2 linked regions of the Canis lupus familiaris genome follow. The protein of the gene in region 2 purifies or fractionates together with the protein of the main gene of each other region. This does not show direct contact. Links are inferred from orthologs where the notes say so. Each region holds a gene or a part of one and is shown on either strand. Other genes may lie near its edges.

Region 1 (4,327 bases), on a different chromosome or scaffold from region 2:
AAAATGATCTATTTGTGTATATGTTGCCACAGAAGCTGAAGAAATGACAGTGCAGACACATGGTTTAATTTGCAGAGTACGGCAGTGTACAATACAACTAAGGAATTTGGTATAACCTAGAGAATAAGAATAACCATCCGCATCTTAATTTTTAAAACTAAAACCTCAGAAAATTAAATTGCCCCTTATTCTTAAGAGATGTAAAACCTGCCTGTGCCGTAAATGAAATCAAATGCTGCCTACACCAACTGTACATTCCATTTTCCAAATAACTTCCCTGGAATGCTGGTGAGCTGCTATGTTTAATATGAATATTTCCAAAGTACTGGATTTAAAGAAATAGCAATGGTTCCAACTTTTCTTACCAAAAAAAAAAAAAATTCCCATCTGAGATTTATGCCCATCCTCAAAACACCCTTTTGAGTTCAGAGCAGATGTGTGCAGTGTTTATACTAAGAAAACCACCAGTACATAAACAACCCACTAAAAACACCACTCAAGTTTTGCTGTGCTTTTCTTCATTTCCTGTGTATTTATTTTGGTGTTAATATAACGTTAACTTTCGTAGTAAGGAAAATAGCAGCAGATGTTTAAACCAAACAAACTATAGCAAATCATCCTACATATCTACTCAACTTTCAAAATCAAAGTTTCTTCCTCCCCCCAAAAGAGGGAAGCTTCAAGCAGACTACTCTCAAGTATATTACAGACTACAGAACAACAAATCAACCTGGTGGAGCTTTCCGTAAGCCTTTCCTCACCACCCCCAACTAAAGACATAAAAAAGTAATGTGGTATCAATTTCCTAGCAATCCCTCTATCCCTCTCTTAAGCGGATCGTTATGTTTTATTTTGTTTTGGTTTGGTTTGAGAATATCATATTACACAATGACAAAGACAAGCCACCAGATATTGCCTTAAGACTTTGTGATTTCTTGATCACTGAAAAAAAAGATGTTTTTAAAAACTGCAGTATATTAATTTCACAAGAAATGAGCCCAGTCACTCGCTACTTCCACCACCCTGAAGAAGTCTGCCTTTTTTAAAATGAGTGATTTCAGAAGTAACACGATAGTTAAAAACAGCAGATTCAAAGAAAGCAAACACCAAAATTCTCATTAGTGGAACAAGCAGGAGTTTAAATACGTATAACTTTTTAGAAAAAATTTTAAGTATGAGATCCTTATCCTGAGTGAAATAAAAAACAGTATGAATGAGATTTTATGTTCCTTGAAGGGGAAAGGGTAAGTTTTCAACTGACTAGGTAACAGGCCTGAAATTTTACATGAAAAATACAAGTTTCCTCAATGTTTTCTTTTTCAAAAGAAACGTTCAGTTCACTATTAAGGGAAAACATGGAAACTCCTACTGAATCAGAAAGGAGATGTCTCCTCCTCGATTTGTATTTGGTTACAACAAAAAACGCCCCTCCTGCCAAGCTGAATTCCCCCGCAGATGCCTCTCCGGCCACTCAAACCCAGGCCATTTCCACTTTTTCAAATTGCACGTAGATAATGTTCCAACAGATCAAGAAATCGCTTTTTCTCTTCTTCCTACCAACAGGGGCAGCTTGAAATGCTACAAGGCGGTGGGGAAACACCTCACAGTTTAGCAGGAGGTGATAAACAAGAAGAATTCTGAGTAGGTTTCTTTCTTTCTTTCTCTCTTTCAATTTAGCTTTCTGGTTGGTGTGTTGTGCAATCACTTCCACAAGGGACCGGAGTGTGGAGGGAACATCCTTCAATGTCAGAACTCTCTAGAGCAGTACAGGAAATGGGAAATCAGACAAAGAGCCAGTCTGTGCTTTGTGACATGGGTGCCCTTCCAGTCCCCCAAACTGAATAGAAAAATTCTTCATTGTTTGGGACAATAGCTCCTGAAAACAAAAACTCACTGTAACTTTCTGTTCCCCTCTACATGAAAATCCAAAGCACTGACTGGAATACAACATGAATACTGTAGATAGTGTATGTTTAAAATAAGTATCAGAGCTGGGGGTGGGGGAGGTGACCAACTCGTTTAACTTTTCCTGGTCCTAGAAGTTCTTCCTCTAAAGAGAGCACCAGCAGAAAACAAAAATAATCATATTATCAAGAGTTAAAAATTTTGAAGAGTTAATGTTGCAAGCAAAAGGGAAACTTTTAACAGTTTATATTTCACTGCCTTCCCTCCCCCACTGTAACCCTGAAAGCTAAGATAGAAACAGCAAACTTTGTATTGAAAATAGTGCATAATAAATACTCGCCTTTCAAAGCACCCTAAAATCCCAAGAAAGAGAGCAAAATACACAGAAGGCATTCAGAACCCTAAAGGAGGAGTGGCCTTAACAAAAGCAATAGGAGAGCAATTTCTAGAACAGAACCTCTACCTTCGTAGCACAGAATGCCGATATTGTTGTTCATCTTGTCCAAGTACTGGTAGTTCAACAGGTCCATCTTCATAAATAGCATTTATTGGGCTAGCACAGAAAACCAGCTCTTTGCTTTCCGCCCCCAAAGAGTAGGTTTCAAAAATCAATTATTACTGAGTAGCTCCTGGCTCTTCTCAAACTTCACAAAGACAGCGAGGCCCAGCCTCAGACGATCAAAACAAAGTATGTAAAAGTAAAAAAAAAAAAAAAGAAAGAAAGAAAGAAAGAAAAGAGAAAACAAAAACACGCCACCAAAAAAATCAAAGTCACACGGAAACCCTTGGAGGGTTTATTTGTAGACAGTATAGGTTTTGTATCCTCGATGGAGCACTTAAAAACCGTTTCGGAAGTCTTTGCAGGTCTTTCTTCGCAGTAGAAAAGGGGTGAAGACGAAGACCACGAAGCACATTTCCTCGGACAAAGCCGCGCTCGCCCTCCTCACAGCCCGCTGCAAGGGAACCGCGCTGACATGCTGGCTATGCTCGGTATGACTCGAATGCGAGCGAGCTTCCTCTCCCCGCCGAGGGCCACGGAGCATGCTCACTGCGCCCCGCAGCTCCTCAAATGTCAGGGATATTTTCTGCACAAGATCAGTCTCTAAATGCATTAAGTGCTTGAAAGAAAGAGAAAGAGGAGGTGGAGAGTCTGAACAGAGGGGCCGGGGCAGAGCTGCTCTGGACAGGAAGCAGCCCTGCCACTGCAAGAACCCTAGGAGGGAGAGAAAACCCAGGAAGTTTCTTTTTCGGGAGCTGAGTAAAAAAGTAAAAAAAAAAAAAATCCATCATGGAAGCAAACTTCCACAGAATTTAACCTTGGCTGGGTCTTCACTGTGGGGATTCGGGAACCCAGGCTGCTGCGTTTGCCGTGGTACATATACCATGCGTTATTTGGAAGGTTTTTTGTTTCTTTTAAAAATTGGTTTACGATGTCCTTTTACACTTCTACACTTCGGGCTGTATGTTTCAAATTTTGATCTGAATGTTACATAGAACTTCTCTCCTGCTCCTCATGACATGAACCGGGCGGAGATGGTATCACTTTTTTTTTTTTTTTTTTTTTGGTATCACTTTTTTACAGCAGAGAAAACTGAGGCTCAGAGGGATTAAATGACTGACCCAGGACCCCAAAATAGTTGGTAAAACTACTTTTAGGGTATTTTTTCCCCTAATAATTTTCCTTAAAGAAAAAAAGGAGGGAAAGAGAGAAAAAAGAGAAAACAGAGAAAGTGGTTTAAGCAAGGAAGACCAAAAGCCTATTTGAAATGACGGGTCATGAGGAGAATAAAGGCATTTTCATTCGGCACATATGAAAGCTGTTTCATCTATTTATTAGGGGCCAGTAGCATGTTGCTATGCTGTTCCTATACTGTTAAACTGGGGATCCTGGGTGGCTCAGCAGTTTAGCACCTGCCTTTTTGGCCCAGGGTGCGATCCTGGAGTCCCGGGTTCGAGTCCCACATCGGGCTCCTGGCATGAAGCCTGCTTCTCCCTCCTCCTGTGTCTCTGCCTCTCTCTCTCTCTCTCTATCATAAATAAATAAATAAATCTTTAAAAAATAAAAATAAAAAAATAAAAAATAAAACCCTTAAACTTCGTATCTCCAGTATCTAGTACAAGTAGGTACCCAAAAGCTGTTTACTGATGAGTACATCACTGAATGTCCAGAGCCTTTAAGCGCACAAAGAGCACACTAGCAAACAGAGGGAGGAAATTGTTTTATCTTAGCAGGCTGTAGCTAGCTTTTGGCACCATAAATTGACTAATAATTCACCACAGGAAGTGTCTGTGTATTGATATGAATATATGCTATTTGGAGATTTAGAAAATATCAAGGAGTGTCATACTGTAGATCAAGACCTGAAATTTTAATATTCTACAGAGCTGAATAAATAATTTCAGGGGATTTTTAAAATCCATC
Region 2 (4,419 bases):
GACGAAAATAATGTCTATACATAAGACTAACTTTTTGCAGTTTGTTATATTCACAATTCTACATCTTAGGGGCAAGGGGAGGGAGGGTCGCTGTGGGTGGGGGAGGGGCCCTCTGGATCGGAGAGGAGCTGGTCAGGGGCAGAGGAGGTGGCCGTCTTGTGGTTCAAGGGTCTCTCTCCTTTTTCACTTTAACATCTCCAGCTAAGATCGTCGCGATTTCGCCCTGCATGAAGGCCCAAGGTACATTCGACCCAACCAGGGGGCATTTCTCTCCGCTGGGGCAGTACACCTCGCCGGTGGCCCCCTGGGCCTTGATACTCTCTCTAGAGCAAGGGAAGCAGAATTTGTGGCTGGGGACGGATGGGCACTGAACGAAATGCGTGTCCTCCAAACGTTCGTGGCAAATGGTACAGCAGAGGGGCCCGCTGTTGGCCATAGGGGAATCCGGAATGTTTTGGGGGTGCACTTGGTCCATGCCCGGGTGGGTGCTAGGCGGCGGGGGCGCCACCTGTAAATTCAGGTCCCCGTTCCGTGATGCCAAGCGGCGCTGCCCGGGCACGGAGGCCGGTGACACCGGGCTGCTGCTGTTGCGCCTGGCGGACGCAGTGGTGGAGTGCACGGAGCTGCCGTCCTTCGGCGAGTGCGCCGTGCCCAGAGTGTCTGCCACCGACATGAGGGCGGCCATGGGGGACGGGCCGTTCTGAGGGGCTGACTCGGGCGGGGTGGTCCGGTTGGAATGGGGTCCCAGGGGCGGGGGCGGGGGGGGCGGACCCCCGGCGGCGTGCCCCGGCGCCGCGAAGCCGCCGGCCGACATGGTGAGCTTCAGTGCCTCGCTCTGGTTCGCCATCCACTGCTGCCTCTGCTGCTCCTCGCCCAGTTTTAGGGCGCCCTCGGCGGAGTCCGGGGGCTCGGGGGACGCCTTCCTCTTGCGGAGACTGGCGGCGGTGCCCCGGCCCGAAGGGGCGGCGGGCGGCAGGGCCCCGGTGCCCGGGGGCGCGCTGGGGGCGCGGCTCAGACTCACCAGGGCCGTGGGCAGCATGGGGCAGCTGGCGTCCAGGTAGGGCTGGGGCAGCATGTCGGCGCCGGGCACGCCCTCCTTGAAGAAGCGCACGGCCTCGGGCAGCAGGTCTCCCAGGAGGCGCCAGTCCCCGGAGCCGTGCTTCTTCTCGTACTCCAGGTACTTGAAGCCGGAGGAGAGACCCCGGCCGAAGTCCTTCATACAGTCCTGGTACATCTGCTTGGCCACACCGGACGCGCTGGAGTACACGTTGCCGGAGCCCGTGGGGTACTCGATGAACAGCTTCAGCTCGTAGTCCATGCCGGGCTTGGAGACGGCGTCGAAGGCGAAGACGCGGCCCAGCAGCGAGTGGTCCTTCTTGAAACGCACCTCGTAGGGCGTGCAGCCAGCCAGCGTGAGCAGCGTGTCGCGGACCATCTTGGGCTTGTTGGCCCACTCCTCCGCGCGGTTGCGCAGGCTCTCGCTCAGCTCGGCCAGGGCCTCGGCGTTGCGCTGCTTCTCCTTCAGCTCGCGCTCCTGGTCGGTGCTCGACACCGAGCCGGGCCTTTTGCCGCCAGCACCCACCCCCACCTCCGCCACCGACGACGAGGTCGAAGACGACGCCGAGGACGACGCGGCCGAGACGCCCGGGGCGCCCCCAAGACAAGCGGGGCCCCCGGGTGCCCCTGGGGGCGCGGGCGTCGGGGGCCCACGGCTGCCGAGGCCGTGGGGCGGCGGCGGGGGCAGCACCGCGGCGCTGGCCGGGCCGTTAAGTAGCGTCTGCGGCAGCAGGTTGGGGGGCACCGCGAGCTGGGGGCCTCCACCACCCCCCGGGTTGGGCAGCCCCGTCACTAGCCCACCGTGCGTCCCGCGCCGAGACGCCACCGACGCCGCGGCAGAAGAGGAGTTGGGGCTCTGGCGGTTCAGCTCCGGGGGTCCCTCCTCCGGTGTCGGCTTGGGGAAGCCGTTGGGGCCCCCCAGCCCGTTGGGCAGCCGCGCGGCGTGGCTGCTGCTCCCCAGGCTCACCGGCGGCGGCGGGTACTCGAAGCGGCTGCGCTGCTCCACGGCGGCGGCGGCGGCGGCGGCGGCGGCGGCGGCGGCAGCGCTCAGGCCGTAGCGCTCCAGGCCGGACGGGGCCGCCAGCACCGCAGGCTTGCTGGAACCGTCGACGTGGTTGAGCTGCTGCTGCTGCTGCTGCTGCTGTTGCTGCTGCTGCTGCTGCTGCTGCTGCGCGGCCGCCGCCGCCGCCGCCGCCGCGGCCGCCGCCTCCTTAGCCGACAGGGCCACCGTCTTGACCCCGACGGGCGGCGGCGGCCCGGGGGAGCGGCCGTCCTGAAAGCAGCCGTGCGCCCGCTTCAGCTGGCGCGCCGTCTCGATCACGAACTCGATGCGATCGGCGCCCTCGTAGTTGACGCAACCGCGGCATACGGGTTCCGAGAAGTCCCAGATCATGGCCCAGGGCATGCGGGGCAGGTCGCACAGGTAGCAAGACTGTCTCCGGGACGAGGACACCTGCGCCGCCGACATGATGCCCGCCCTGGGGAAGGTAGGCCCCCGCCCAGGCTGTCTCCGCGGCGCCTTCTCCTCCGGGAGGACTGGCCGGCTGGGGAGGGAGTCCGGCTGCGGGGGAGGAAGGGGGGGCGAGAAAGTTCTGCCCCAGGGGCTGGAGGGAGCGCGAGTCTCCACCGCCGGCGCAGCGCCTCTCCGTGGGGGCTCCACCGCCGGGGCGGCGGACGAGTGCTGCCCGCTCGTCGCCCCCACCTCCTACTGCGGCTGTGTCGTCGGGAGGGGAGCTCGGGCGCCTTCTTCCTGGTGCCGCGGACCCGGGCTGCGAGCTCCGGGCCCGAGGGGAGGGGGCGAGGGTGCCGGGTGCTGGCCGCCGTGGGCTCTTGGCCCCCTCCCCGGAGTGGCTGGTGCCTGGAAGCTCGAAAGGGGTGGTCTCTTCCTCTCCCTGGGGGCCCCCCTACGAGCTGCGTCCTCTCCCCGCCAGGCTCACTGGGGCGAAGGCTAGAGGGCTCAGTGCCACCCGGTGCCCGGGTCCAATCTTGCTGAAGTCGCCGGGGGAGGGAGGGGGTGGCCGCCGAGAGGAGCTTCTCCCCTCCGCAGCGTCGGCCGTTCCGCTGGCGGCGGCTGGGTTTGCACGGCCGGAGGGAGCCGCCGCGGCCACCGCTTCCAGGACGCACGAGAGCAGAGGAGAGGAGCGCACGCACGCAGGCTCCCGCCGCCCCCAGGCCCGGCCGGCGCCCCGGCCGCCGCGGCTGGCGGCGCTCACGTTGGCTGCAGGGCGCTCGCGCGGCGCCTCGGCCCGGGTCGCATCCCTTCCCGCTCGCACTCGCCCGGAATGTGGGGTTGTGATTGTTACTCTACGTTCCGGAGGCGCGTCTCGGCGCTCCCGCTCGCGCTGCGGCTCGCGCTGTCCCCGGCTTGGCCGCGCGGGATGCCGCCCGGGCGGAGCGCTGACGTCACCGCCATGCTCTGCACCACTTCTCCCCCCTCCCTCCCCTTTACACTTCCTCTGTCTGTGGAGCCACTTGTTGCTCGGGGAGGGCGCATGCGCGGCAGGGCGCCCAGATTCCTCCCCGGCGGCCCCGCCTCCGCGCCTCCGCCTTCCCCTCCCCCCTCCCCGTGTGTGTACAACAGCTGAGGCCCGGCGAGCTAATGCTGGACGTCCTGGGCTGGGGGTGGAAATTAAACAGACGATGACCTTTCCTTTCCCCGCCCGGCTTTCCCAAGTAAAAACGCATTTGAAAACCACAAGCGTCATTTCCGATCCCGCTCCCCACCCCACCCCGGGCAGTGCATTTAAATGTCCAGTTTCAGGATTTTCGTCGCGAATCTCATTCTCGTTTTATCTGTAATCAAATCATCCCCCCCCGCCCCGCCCCACCCCGTATGGATGTTACGTTCACTTGCTACCACCGATGCCAAAGCACCTGCAAAATTAGCTGTTTTCCATTTGCCCAGAAACTGCCTTTTCGATTTGTTTTTGTGCCTCTGGTCTAGGAACCTGAGTTTCAACGACAGAGCTAAATGAATTCAGGGTGAGCTACTCCTCCCCCCCCCAGTCGCATTCTAAAAATTTTGGCTGAAAGAAGCTACGAGCACCCGGAGGCCTTTAAGGAAAACAGTCTACTGGCTGCGCACAGCTGCAGTTGGGGCAGGGAGGGGGGAAGGTGCTGGAGAGGCCAAACAGGTGAGTGGTTTTTCCGGGTTTGATAAAAGAAGGTGGGGCAGCGTTTAATGATTTTGCTATCTCTTTGTAAAGCGCAGTGGCAGCTTTCAAAATTCTTTCTCACGTGCTGTGATTTCATTCCACAGTGCCCCAGAAGGCTGAGCAAGGCCATGATTTCTTTTCCATTAGGGGACCGCTGCTCGTCATTACTGCTTATTGGGGAACAGGCATGTTGGTCATAGCTGTAGTC

What was found.
Region 1: the proteins of IRF2BPL (region 2) and VGLL4 purify together in Homo sapiens (affinity purification with mass spectrometry; 3 studies listed by BioGRID and IntAct, counting the BioPlex papers as one, with this or other methods). This does not show direct contact. The link is inferred for Canis lupus familiaris from reciprocal best matches to the Homo sapiens genes IRF2BPL and VGLL4.

What each region holds. Positions count from the first base shown.
Region 1 is NC_049241.1:6,903,147-6,907,473, reverse strand, and holds the start of VGLL4 (transcription cofactor vestigial-like protein 4), read right to left. Parts: upstream 3,090-4,327; 5' UTR 2,451-3,089; coding exon 2,369-2,450; intron 1-2,368. UniProt on the Homo sapiens protein: May act as a specific coactivator for the mammalian TEFs.
Region 2 is NC_049229.1:50,180,153-50,184,571, forward strand, and holds the start of IRF2BPL (probable E3 ubiquitin-protein ligase IRF2BPL), read right to left. Parts: upstream 2,864-4,419; 5' UTR 2,525-2,863; coding exon 164-2,524; 3' UTR 1-163. UniProt on the Homo sapiens protein: Probable E3 ubiquitin protein ligase involved in the proteasome-mediated ubiquitin-dependent degradation of target proteins. Through the degradation of CTNNB1, functions downstream of FOXF2 to negatively regulate the Wnt signaling pathway.